Caenorhabditis elegans: one gene and its partners. The protein of the gene in region 2 purifies or fractionates together with the protein of the main gene of each other region. This does not show direct contact. Each region holds a gene or a part of one and is shown on either strand. Other genes may lie near its edges.

Region 1 (5,427 bases), on a different chromosome or scaffold from region 2:
GCTCTGCCTTCTATTTTGTATGTCACAAAATTTTTCATTTTCATTTCCCAAAATGTTCAGTTATTTAATATGAGACAATGTTTCCATTTTTATTTCTATTCTCACTAATAAACGTTACTTTTTCATGAAACTTTTATGATTGAACATATGTATGTATATAATAGAAAATACCGGAAAATACAATAAAAAAACGAGACCAAAATCTGGGACAAAAACTACCATGAAAAGAGTATCATGAGCATTGTGAGAAAGCCGACAAAAAAATTCTGAAAGTTTGAAAAATACGGAGCAACGAGAACAAAATAAGGAGAAATGCAAGTATTTAGAGTTGAATTCCATTTATTTGAGCATGTCCATTCGATGGTTGTGGCGAAGGTTGAATGCTAAAAATTGAGTCGTCTGAAAACGGGAAAAACGCAAACTAAAGGCACACAAAACATTTCAAGCATTTTGAAATTTATTGGTGAAAATTCTTATTTCGTCCGTTGTATCATTGAAATTTAAGAAAAAAAAATGTTTATTTTCCATAAAAACAAAAAATTTTGGTCACTAGAAAACAGGCACTACCGGTAAATATTAGATTGAGGGGCGGAGTTTCCAATGAAACACGGGGGAGGAAACTTTTGAATCTCAAAAATCGAAGATTCAAATGCGATAAAAAACAATTATGCGAAAATAAATCGTAAAGTTGGGCTCAAAATTGGCACACTGCCAGTTATCCAACATCCAAATGCAACTGGTACAAGAATTAAAGGGGCGTGCCACTGAACTGCGTCTAAAAATCGATCGAAATCATCCTTCTCGTTCGGGATTCGGCGGGACTTCTTTTGAATTATTTTCACAGATTTTGAAGACTTCGTCAATTTTTTCGAGGCTTGTGGTGTAAAATCCATTCTTGACGGCGGTGGTGTATAAACTCCAACATCCAGCTCTTTCCACGATGGTTCAGGAGTCACGAAGCACATGGGAGCCATTGTTTCCGAAGATCGTCTCAATTGCTTCTGTGGTGTGGCCAACTGATTTTTCTGATTCATCGTAGTCCTTCTTAAAATCGTTTCCTTCTTCGGGCGACTATGATTCAAATTATTCAATGCATATGAGTGAAGGTACCGATAATTTTCATGTCTATCTCCAGCATCTTCCAAATCTTGCCCAAATTCTGACGATGAATGTTCTGTGGCAGAAGGTGTCATTGGCATGAAAGATCCAGATTCATGGCTTTGTGGTGGAGTCTCCAATTGAACAGATGATGTAGTGTCCAAATGCAGTTCTGATGGAGAATAATATGACGTTGAAGCCACTGAACGAGGTGTTTCTGGAGCATATGATGCTGGTGGAGGTGTAACTTCTGCAGCATGAGAAGAACGGGAAGCGGTTTGCCGTCTTGACAGCACGCTAGAAATCAGAGAAATAACGAGTACTATGAAATTGGAATGTTAAACAAATGAACAAAGGTATTCTAAATATATCCACTCATTTGAATAAATCATGTAATTTTAATCCAGGTTTGGCTATAATTATTGTCAAAATTTGATAATTTTGTAAGATAGTTTTTTTTTCAATAATTTAAAACGTTCTGGACACTTTGCTCGGTTGTCATTAGAAACAACGAGAACGATGTAAGAATTTTCACCAATTGAATTTTCAAATCAAATCTATGATTCTATAACTTTTGATTACAAGTTAAATGACTCAACACAGTAATTGCACACAAAATCACACATTCACAATAAGCACAATGCCTACCTTCTAGCCGGCGAAACGGAACCTCTGCTTGATCGATGGTCGAGAATTCCCATATATTTTGCAGCTCGAGACAGTAGGTATCCACTGAGTACGGTAGCTGTCAGAGATTTGAGCCAAGTTGGCGATTTTGCTGGGATCAATGCTTTGATGAGCACTGCGGCAAGCAGACTTCCAAAATTGAACAGCGTAGATGAAAGAACACTGAAAAATCATTATTTGTTGGAATCTTTCTTTTTCTCAAAAAAAAGTTAATTTACCTGAATTCAACTCTCTCCCATGGATTCACACGGTGAAGGTGTCTTCTGAAATACACGTAGAATCCGAGTCCCACGTTGGCATTGAACAGAATCGTGTTGCTGACGGCAAGATCTCCCGTCGGAAACAGACTGAAAAAACAAACAACTAATTTAGAATTGATTCGTAGACACTTACCTTGAAATGATATTTGGACTGAACAAATGCACAGTGTAAAGAGTGTGTGAAAGTGCTCCAGAAGCAGGAAGATAGTGAGAAAGGAAGGATCGAGATGTGACTGGTGGAAACCATTTTGCCCAGTCAATTCCAAATGTACCACCACCCGATTGGATACCTGAAAATATTGATGATTATGAGTCTGAGCTTCTTTTTATTTAGTTTTCCGCATTTTTGTTGTTTTTTCATGTTTTTGGTGAAGAATTAATTTTATGCTTTTTAAAGTTTTGTTTTCCATAAAAAAAACACTCGCAATTATTAAAGTATGGAAATTTTTTTTTTAATCGTTCTCGGTTTGTCAACAAAGAAAATATTTTGGATTCAGCCCTGATCACAACTAGAAAATAGATTTTTCTGCAGATTTTCTTCCTCGAACATTTTTGATAAATGAGCGCCATCGGCGCCCACGGATCTTAACATATCTTTTATCGGATCCAAGTGATAAATAAATCTGATAAGAGAAACTACTTGTGTTATGTTAGTTTTTTCTGCATCCCACGATCAAAGTCCATAGGGTCCTCATAAAGTTTTATTTTAGGCGCTATATAAACGATAACACTGTCACTAATCATAAAACATTCCATTCATCAATTTATCAATCAACGAAGCGTTTCATTGCCATAATGGGCAGATTTTTCTTTTATGTTTATATAGTTTTTAAAATATCTTTTTCAAAGATAGTTCCACACTGACCGGATGATGATGATGGATGATCAAGAATTCCCATTATTTTAGGCGTATTTAGTAAGAGAAGAATTTGATTTCGTCGTAGTTGTTGTTCGAACACAGTCGGCGGGGGTTAATGGATTGGAAGAGCGTAGATATGGTCGGACAGGAAGAGGCTAATTGAATTAGGAATCCAATTTATTCTGAAATGAACTTTTGATTGGAAATGACCAAAACATGACATTTTTTTTTTAATCCAAAAGTAGTGAAAATACAAAAAAATGGTTATGATCCCAGTATTACATTTATACTTCTTTTTTCAAACAAAAAACTCACAGCTCACAATTCCACGACTAGCGGGTAGTTGCTCTCGTTCGAAACAAACACACAGATTGGCTGATAAACTGATCTCGTTCGTAGTTTTCTCGTTTTCTCTAACTACCTCTCAAGGTACTTAGAGAGTTGAGAAATGGGCGGAGTCTGGTTGCCCTTTGTGCTCTGCAACAACCATGTATACAACAAGAAAAAGAAGAAAAAGAAGTACAATTGTACAGATAAAATTAGAGTATATAGAGAAATGAGGTAATCAAAAGAATCTATTGGAGGGGAACACTTAATGCTCATTTCGAAATGAAAGATAAGCAACAAGTCAAACAGCAAGTGAATTGAGAACAAGAATCATTGGATTACCATCGGAAAATTGTTTCCATCAGTTTCAATGTTTATTCAATAAAATTAAATATGCTGTGTGTTGCTGAAAATTTCAAAAACAGTTTTGTATATTACCCAGACTCGAAATGTCGCAATTTTTATGGGCGAAAATACGGTATCTGGCCTCAATGCGACAATTATGTATTGCATAGAAATATGTGTGCGCCTTTAAAGAGTACTGTAGTTTCAAACTATAACAATTTTTGGCACTAAAATCCAAAATTTTCGCGTCTGGGTAATATCTAATAAGTGGAATCAATTTGGCGATTAAATTTTCAAAATTCGGAGTGACAGACTTTCAAATTCTCCATGTAGGAACGAGAACTAACAAATCCAGGGAGCAAAAATCCGGATTAGTGAATCGAAATCCACAGAGACAATCTGAACAGCAATTAGAGCGAATACTTGCGAAATTTGTTTCCTGCAGAATTTGTCAAATGAAAAAGGACATAAAACAACAAAACCCAATGACAAGACCAACAAAAGATGATGGAACAGACACCAAGAGGTCGATAAGAAAGACAGTGACACAACCGACCACAGTGGGGGAGTGAAAGAGAGGGCGCGAAAAGCAGCAGAAAACGACGGGCGGGAGACAGACGGACAACACACACAAGTGAAATCGAGCCAAGAATGATGAAAGAAATGAGACGCAGAGGTGACATTGAAGGGAAAAGAGGATGTCCCTATGGGCGCCCGCGACGCCCAAGGTGACAGGTGATGTTTTTTTTCGCGGGAATTGATGGAATTCAATGGAGAAGAAACAAAAACAAAGCAATACATCGGAACGAGCGAATGGGCTCCGATAAATCTCTGATATGAATTGCCTGTAAATGTCATGTGTTCACATTTTTGTTTTATTCTCATTTGCCATTTTATAGAACTGATAGAGCGTTTTGATAGGATTATTTCAGCAAGAAAAAGGAAAAGTTGTGTTCAACAGAAATGTGTTTGCTAAAAAATTTCTGACATGGCAAGAAAATTCATTGAATTGTTCAGCATCGCATCTTTTAAGGGCCCTTCATGGACAATTGCCAAGACCCGCATTTCGGGAATTTTTCTATTAGAGATATAGGATATCAGATTGGAAACTGTGACGTTGTCCTGAGAATCAACGTTTTTTTTTGTCAATTCCAATTAGAAATGGATATCTAATGAACTTTTACGAAGAAAGTTGATCGACTATAACTTAAACTTGTCAGCTCTATTGTTTTCGATGGGGGTGGAACATTTTGCACAACAGAAATGAGCGGATGACATGGAACAATTGAGCAGGCCTGTAGAAAACTATGATGGGCAAAAATGTCATAAATTTCGGGGATTTGGTGACGAGCCGAGAAAATGTTTTCAGTTAAATATACAATCAAAATGTTTTCTAAATCGAAAACTAGCATGAATTCAGAAAGAAAAAACATATGATACTAATTTATTAGACAATACGAATTTCGCAGAACAACTAAAACCAGTTTCTGTGATAACTGGTGTTCGTCTTCTACAGACAATCAAAAGACTTGGCATAGTTTTTCCTGTTTAGAAATTCCAAAAAATAAAACCAAGAGAGAAACGTTTCTAGAAACACGAATATATATTTTTCACATTTCTCTATAAGCTCTCATTTAGCTTGCTATAAGGCTCAACCTACAATAGTTTATGATCTTTTCATGAGAATCTACAAGAAATACTTGGTTGAGTTGAACACAAGTAGTTAAACTTGTCAACAATAAAATTGAAGTGTTTTAAACAGATGTTCAGTTAATTGAACGACGGGAAAAACGACACAACACAACTAAAAGAAGAAATCTCACAGAAAAAAATAGCGAAAGGGGAGCAGAA
Region 2 (3,743 bases):
TTATCCCAAAAGAGCCATTCATGGAGTACGTTTTACGGATTGCAAGGACTAAAACTATATTTGAGAGGATACCTATTAATGATACCTGAAATTGGAGCAGTTTACAGTACCTTCTATCAACTACGTTTTACAAAAACTCACAATAAAGGTGATTGCGGAGACGACAAATTGCTGATACATTGGGAAATTTTAGAATGTTTTCTGAGTAACTTACAGCTTGATGAGACAATATCATGGTGATGAAAAAAATCTGAAGGAAATATGAAAAACTGTGCATTTTAATTTCCGGTCTAGCCAACGGCGTGGTACTATTGATGTATTATTAAAAATAATAGTTAATTTACAGCTAGAGATTATCAGCGCATTTTCGTAGATCAAACTAAAAAAAACAGTTATAGAAATTGCAAATGCGCTCTGAGGTACTCGGCAAAAGTGGCTGCCAAAGTTTTGTACATTTTTATTAATACTACTGGAATCAAAAATTTACAGTATAACTATTTAAAAAAAATCAAATAGAAACAAATTTACAAATAAATTTTATGAAGTTGGCGAGAACATGTCGTAAAGATTCTTGGGAAGAGCGTACAAATTGAGCATATTTTTGATTTCCATGTATTCGTGAAAACGGTGACTGGCTCTCTGAAACATCTTTAGAGTTTATAATCAAAAAATTGTTGCTCCGCGAGCAACAAACTTGAATTGATGGAAGTATGGACAAAACTGCGCCAAGCCTCATTGCTGCGTCATCATAAATATTTATACATTGATAGTGAAAAAGTAGATCCTTGATGATATTGCTCTTAATCTTCACAGCTTCTTCTTGAAAATCGGCTTCTGACTCAGAATCCGATTCCAAGAGAATGATACCCGCAAGCGCGAGGAACTCATAGATATCTACATTTTCAGCACTCAACGGAACAGTTATAGATGATTGTATTAATTTTAGCCTTTGAGCGAGTATTTCAATATTGTCTCTTTCAGTGAAAGTTTGATGATCGTTGGTGAAAAACGATTCAGAATGAGCCAAATCGATGTAGTCACCGGATGGAATGAGCATCACATTTTTTTGCTCTGAAAATTTAGATATGGAATGAAAAAATTATGGCTGAAAAAAAAACATACTTGCTGAACATCCATTAAACGAGCTCTCAAATAGACAGAACGACAAGAAGAAATTTTTGAAAAATGCGAGTTTTGTGTCTGGAAGAAGCATGGAGTACTCGGGAAATGCTTCCCAGAGGAACTGATATATGCTTGTCGACTCGTTTTGAAACACGATTGGAAGCTCGTTAAAGCCGATGGCTCGGGGTGCTTGGTTCTGAAATGGTTCACTGATCAGGTATCAGTATTTCATATGAACAATTAAACAGTCCTTACCTCCCGCCTATTATGCACGTGTTTCCTGTTTAAAATTAACATTTCGTACGCTCTTCGCAACTTATTAAGCACTGGCTTTCCACGATCATCAGAGATATTCAGACGTTTCCCGAGTTGTTCACGTCTCTGTTGCACCGATGATCGTTGCATTCCCATTTCAAGGCACTTACCGTACCTGCAGGCTTTACACATGCTCCGTGCGTCTGAACTTAGTGGTGATATTTGAAACCCGACCAATAAAAACTTGCATGATAGGAAAAAGCATTGCCCATTTCTCCCACACTCGTGGATCTTATTGTGTTGGACTGTGCGGCGGAAAAATGCAGCGCAAGCTCTGAAAATTTCACGAATTTCAAAATTTTTGAAAAAGTTACTCACCTACACGCTGCAGCTACTCCAAAATGATTCCCATCAGCAACCTCACTACAAATCAAACAATATGGAATCGGTTCATTGGATGAAGCGCTTCCAATATTGTTCAACACACGAGCTAGGGTGAACATGTTTCTGAAATAAATGAATAATTAATTATCATCTGCAACTGCACCTGTTTTCAAATGGATTTAAAAAAAACAAGAATAACAATATTCTGAGATTTTTGAATTTTTGAGCTTCACAAAATCCCTTGGATTAGACTATATAGAGACTAAAAAAAGCAGAAATAAGTTTGTAAGATCAAAAAGTTGGAGGTAGATTTGTTGTGTGATGTGTCTGCCAAATAGAACTCATTACACACGTTTTGAATATGATCAAACACTCTGAGAGCTAACGAGACAATATATTATATATTCACGAGGCTCATTAGTCATAAAGGCAAATCGGACTCCAGCTTAATCTGATGTTATTTCAGAACTCAACAAACTCTTGAAAAACAATGGTTGTGGCATGCTTTTATACCTCGTGTGCCTATTGAAAATTATAAAATTGCATGGCGTGTTTGCACAGCTTTCCGAAATTATACTCTTTTTTTTAAACTGAGCATGCTCCACCAGAGCGCATTAACAGAATTTGCGAAATCCTCTCCTTCTTATGGATTTGCCAAAGTTATTTTTTCTGAAAATAGCATTACTTTTGATTAAAAATTTCAAAAAGTTGCTCAACTGCAAAGTCGCATTGTTCGGTACATTTATTCGGCACATTTCTTCTTCTTATTCCCCACTTCTGCTTTTCAGGACAATTCTAACAAAAGTTTTAATTTTATAGACAAATAAAAATAATACTTGTTTATTGTACACTAAGAAAATAAATTTAAAAAAAACATTAAAATTCAGGAAGTTGGCGAGAACATGTCGTAGAGATTCTTGGGCAGAGCATACAAATTGAGCAGATTTTTGATTTCCATATACTCGTGGAAACGGTGACTGGCTCTCTGAAACAACTTTTGAGCTTATAATCAAAAAATTGTTGCTCCGCGAGCAGCAAACCTGAATTGAAGGAAGTATGGACAAAACAGCGCCAAGCCTCATTGCCACGTCAGCGTATACATTTATAGATTGATAGTGAAAAAGTAGATCCTTGATAATAGCGCTCTTAATCTTCACAGCTTCCTCTTGAACATTCTTCCGATCGGCTTCTACTTCTAAATCGGATTCCCAGAGAATTATAGCCGCTAGAGCTAGAAACTCATTAACATCTACATTTTCAGCACTCAACGGAACAGTTATAGAAGTGTGGAGCATTCGAAATTGCTGAGCAAACATCGAAATAGTGTCTTTTTGAGAAAACGTGTGATGATTATTGTTGAAATATGACTCTAGATGAGCCAAATCAACGTAGTCGCCCGAAGGAATGAGCATCACATTTTCTTGCTCTGAAATTTCAGTTTTTGATTTAATTTTAATTTTTATCTAAAAAGTGGAACTTACTCGTCAAATATCCATAATATGAGCTCTCCAAAAGTGTGAATGGTAGGAAAAAATTCTTAAAAAGCGATCGTTTTGTGTCTGGAAGGAGCTCAGAGTACTCGGGAAATGCTTCGCAAAGGAATTGATAAATTACAGTCATCTCATTTTGATACACTACTTGAAGCTCGTTGAAACTGATGGCTCGGGGAAGTTGGTTCTGGAAAAAAGTTTTAAGCTTTTGGTAATTTTTTTGAAAATTTCGAAATGAAACTCTGTAATTTATGTTCGAGGTTCTTAAAGTTTTTTTTTTTTTAATTTCCCAAACGGCGCAGTGGGAGTTTTCTTGTACACAAAGTTAGGGGGTTCGACCCTCACTGTGAGTATTTTTTAATTAAAAAAATGTAAAGCATAAGTTCAGATTTCATCCTTTAACAATATCCAAATATCCGTATAAAATCACCCCTACCTCCTGCCGGTTATGAACCTTCTTCCTGACAACTAGTAACTTTTCATACGCCCTCC
Region 3 (3,867 bases), on a different chromosome or scaffold from region 2:
CTTTTCTCGCCGTCATATTCACCATTTTTCTTTTTTCCTCGTAATTTGTAAATCAATTGTTTTTTTTGTTATTGCGCTCAATGTTTTCATATTTCCAATTTTTCGCTTAAATGTTCTTAGAATTGGATCAAGTTGTTGTTAATCTTATTCCCCTTACCCGTATTCTGATGGTTTTTTGTTTGTTCGCTGTTCAACTTTTTCCTTCACAATTCCTAAGTGCCCTTTTTGAAAATTCTATTGAAATTTGCAGACTTGACGTTATTCGGGTGTTTTTCTCTTTCTATACTCAACAAATTATGTTCCTTCCTTTTAACATCATCATCAACATCATCATCAATGCTCCCAAAAACGTTTAATGTCACCCATTTTATTCACTTCTAGATTCTTTTCCCGTTTTGTCATACACGACAAAATTGGGTTTTCATTTGACTTGCAGTAGCTCTTTCATTTTTTTTTCAATTTGACACTGTTTAATGGTACTGAATGAAAAACTGGTATATAAAAAAGTTTTTATATTTAAAAAATTTCATAAATTTACACAACTTCAGATGATAATAATTTCATTCAGACAAAAACTGTAAAAATTCCAAAATTAACCCGTTTTCTACAATTTCATGATATCTATGGAAGCATTCGTACCAAAACAACGGAATCTCCTTTAATGAAGCATGCTCTCTGGAAACGATGTTCTATAAGACGATTTGTTCCAACTTTCATAGGCCAATTTCCACCTTCTTTCCACCGAAGAAACTCTGGCAGTAGTAGTTGCATTTCTTTCCGATTTGTGAATTCTTTTTGTGCTTTTCTGAATTTATATTAATTTAGTAAACGAAGAAGAAAAAATCATTAAAACCTTCCATGTAGAACAGTTTCCGTAACATCTTTCATCATTAAATTGAAATGTTCATCAAAAGTGGTTGGTATTCCCTCGAAAATCCGATCAATTCGAATTGCCGAACGAACTCTTACTTCAATTCTCTTTTGATTTATAACTGCATTTGCAATCATCGACATTGGTCCTTCAATTGTAATCATTTTATCGTGAAATGTTATTCCTTTTTTTTCAATTACACTTCGTCCATCAGTCATCATTGCTTCCAATCGTATTTGACGATCTCGAGCTTGTTGTCTGAAAAAATATTAAAACTTTAAAATTAATTTTCCAATAGTTCGAATTGTTTGACTGTTTAAATAATCATAGGCTTTTTGTTTTGGAATTTTTGAGTTTTGCTCGCGAAAATTGCTAGCATTCAGAGTATAAATACACACAATACATAGATAGTGCAAAATTAAGAACATTTTTAAAGTACTTTTGGTCGACTTCCAAAATTATGATACTTGAAAATTGAGTAAATAATAGATACTTTTAAAAATGTTAAAGTGTTACTATTACATAGACGTCCAAAATGAGAATTTTCGTCTTATTTTACGCTCACGGGTCTCGCCACGCAGGCATCGAGCTACTGTAACTTCATGTGTTCGTGGTGAGACCATGCGTGTAAGATATGGCGAAAATTCGCATTTGTGGACGTCTATAAAATAGTAAGACTTGAAAAACATTTCAAAATTCAATATTCGGTCATGTTGGACTATTTTAAGCCGGCAACTTCGCGACTACCATAAAATATTTTACATCTAAATTTCAAAATTTCAATTAATTGAAAGTTATATTTTTTAAAAATAACGAACTTTTTACTTATAGTCTTTTCTTTTTCCTCTCTTACAGTTCTTTCATCAAAATCACAAATTTCTTCTGCAAGTTCCGGATGCAAATCCACTAGATTTTTCTCAAATTCATCAGTTTTGAAATCTTCACTATTTCCTTCGACCCCTTCGATAAGTTCTGGATTTTTTTCGGCCACGGTTTTTAAAAACTTCTCAATATCAAAATCCTCTGCCATTTTGATTTTAAAACTACCTTCCTGAAACAATGCCAATAATGTTAAATGATGTATTATTGGTTTGTGTCTTCTTAAAATAAAAATTAGCCTGTCAACTCGTCTCGTTTAATGAAAGTGTATAAAGTTCCACCAAATAATTTCTTTATTCGCCGTACCACTTTCAAAATACAAGCAAATCCAATCGCCTAAAAGAAGAAAAGCAAATTCTACTGAATACGATTAAAAACGCCCGTCATCCTGTTCTCAAACGAGGAGAAGTGAAGATTCTGGGTGATACGTGTATGAAAGAAAATGGTAACGACAAAAACTTGAATAAACTAAACTTTCAAAAGAAAAAGAAATACAGAAACCACGTTGATTCTTAGATTAGTTGAGGGTACAACTTAAATAAAGAAATCACATGAAAACTGCCACAAAAAGAGGGAGAAAGAAAATAAAAATTTGAACGGGACGCAAAGGAGGAAAGGAATGACCAGGACAGCAGAAAAAATAAAAGAAGCTATAAATAGAACCGTCCCGTTTCTAATGTGTGAATCCCAAAAAAAAGGAGAAAAAAGAAAGAGAAGCTTCATCACGATTCAGATGGTCAGCTTTGCAGTCTGTTCACTGCACGACTGTTCGCGAGAGCAACTTTAAGTTCAAGTCCGTTGGTGTTTTAGGGGGGAAAGGAAACGAAATAATCAAAGCATTTTCTATGGGAGAGGAGCAACAAACACGAATAAGAATCTGAATTCGAGGCGGAGGCGACTCCAACAAAATGAGCTAATGATACATGTCGTAAGAGAGGACAAAATGATTAAAGAAGAGAGCCAATAACATATGAAGAATATTATTATGAAGAATAATAGAATGTGTTGGAGTTGATGATATTAAAAAAGAATCATCTACAACAACCGGGAACGGGAATAATGGGGATACACATCAGAAATTTTTCTTTGTCTTTCGAATTCGAAAATGAAGGGAGAAAACGGTAGGAATAGAAGAAGATAACTAGAATGAGGGTGTGTGGGTGCTTTTGTGTGTGTGTGTGCAATTGTGCCAAAATTATCGGTTCATCACAGAAGAAAAACCGGGTGGTGGTGGGACGGCTGATGATCGCAGACTGTTCTCATGCGACCAACGAGACATCGAATTATCATCCATAAACCGAACATTTACATTTGGAAGAAGAGCTTTGAATGCATCTTGTGCAGATTGTGGCTGCTGTGATTGATGATCCTGCATCATACTTTGATGGCCTCCCATTCCGAACAATCCCATACTTGACTGTTGCTGTTGCTGTTGTTGTTGTGATTGTTGTGTCATGTGTGGAGGTGCTTGTTGTGTCGTGGAAGATCTGTTCGTAGATGGACCTCCGAGTCCTGGAGGTGGTGCCATTCCAAATGGTACTCGAGGCATCAACATGTCATTGTACATGTATGAGTTGATTCCAGCATACATCTGCTGTTGTTGATGTTGTTGTGCTTGTTGCTGCGCTTGATGTTGTTGCTGTTGGCGATTGAACAAGTCTTGTAGAAGACTGGACGACTGTGACGACTGAGACTGATGTTGTTGTTGCTGTGAAGACTGTTGTTGCTGCTGCATCTGGAACAATTTTGATCATGGATAAAGTTTACTAACATGGAAATTATTTCAGTTTTAGACTTCCGGATGAAACCTAGTAAATTTTTTAAAAAAGTTATTCAAAGTAGGTTTCTACAAAAAATAAGCAGCAGAAGACCGTGTTGAACTAGGAAAAAGCTGATATGAAATTGTTCAGTGCATTGTTTCACTACTTTAGAGGCCCGTGAAATTGCTCCAAGTCTACATTTTTACAAATTTTGATTATTTCAAAGGCATTCTGGAAATTTTTTTTCAAACCATAGGTACCTTTATCATCGAAAAGCTGCAGAAATACACGTCTGGAGCCATTTCACAGACATCTAAGGTAGTTAAATAATGAACTGAATAATTTCAGATCGACTTT

Evidence for each region. Proteins that work in one complex are often made in the same cells at the same time.
Region 1: the proteins of nhr-199 (region 2) and C09G9.1 fractionate together in Caenorhabditis elegans (co-fractionation; one large-scale study listed by BioGRID). This does not show direct contact.
Region 3: the proteins of nhr-199 (region 2) and C49H3.4 fractionate together in Caenorhabditis elegans (co-fractionation; one large-scale study listed by BioGRID). This does not show direct contact.

The regions. Positions count from the first base shown.
Region 1 is NC_003282.8:8,862,103-8,867,529, forward strand, and holds C09G9.1 (Rhomboid domain-containing protein), read right to left. Parts: upstream 3,382-5,427; 5' UTR 3,220-3,381; intron 3,087-3,219; 5' UTR 2,945-3,086; coding exon 2,911-2,944; intron 2,336-2,910; coding exon 2,179-2,335; intron 2,133-2,178; coding exon 2,004-2,132; intron 1,948-2,003; coding exon 1,747-1,947; intron 1,396-1,746; coding exon 666-1,395; 3' UTR 503-665; downstream 1-502.
Region 2 is NC_003283.11:15,698,020-15,701,762, forward strand, and holds nhr-199 (Nuclear hormone receptor family member nhr-199), read right to left. Parts: upstream 1,881-3,743; coding exon 1,756-1,880; intron 1,712-1,755; coding exon 1,378-1,711; intron 1,319-1,377; coding exon 1,123-1,318; intron 1,072-1,122; coding exon 509-1,071; downstream 1-508. Other genes in the region: srx-29 (7TM GPCR serpentine receptor class x (Srx) domain-containing protein), read right to left, coding at 1-85, 142-180; Nuclear hormone receptor family member nhr-53, read right to left, coding at 2,645-2,746, 2,802-3,187, 3,243-3,438, 3,688-3,743. UniProt on the Caenorhabditis elegans protein: Orphan nuclear receptor.
Region 3 is NC_003282.8:7,913,346-7,917,212, reverse strand, and holds C49H3.4 (Sm domain-containing protein), read right to left. Parts: upstream 1,923-3,867; 5' UTR 1,902-1,922; coding exon 1,690-1,901; intron 1,130-1,689; coding exon 854-1,129; intron 806-853; coding exon 622-805; 3' UTR 503-621; downstream 1-502. Other genes in the region: ntl-4 (CCR4-NOT transcription complex subunit 4), read right to left, coding at 2,946-3,485.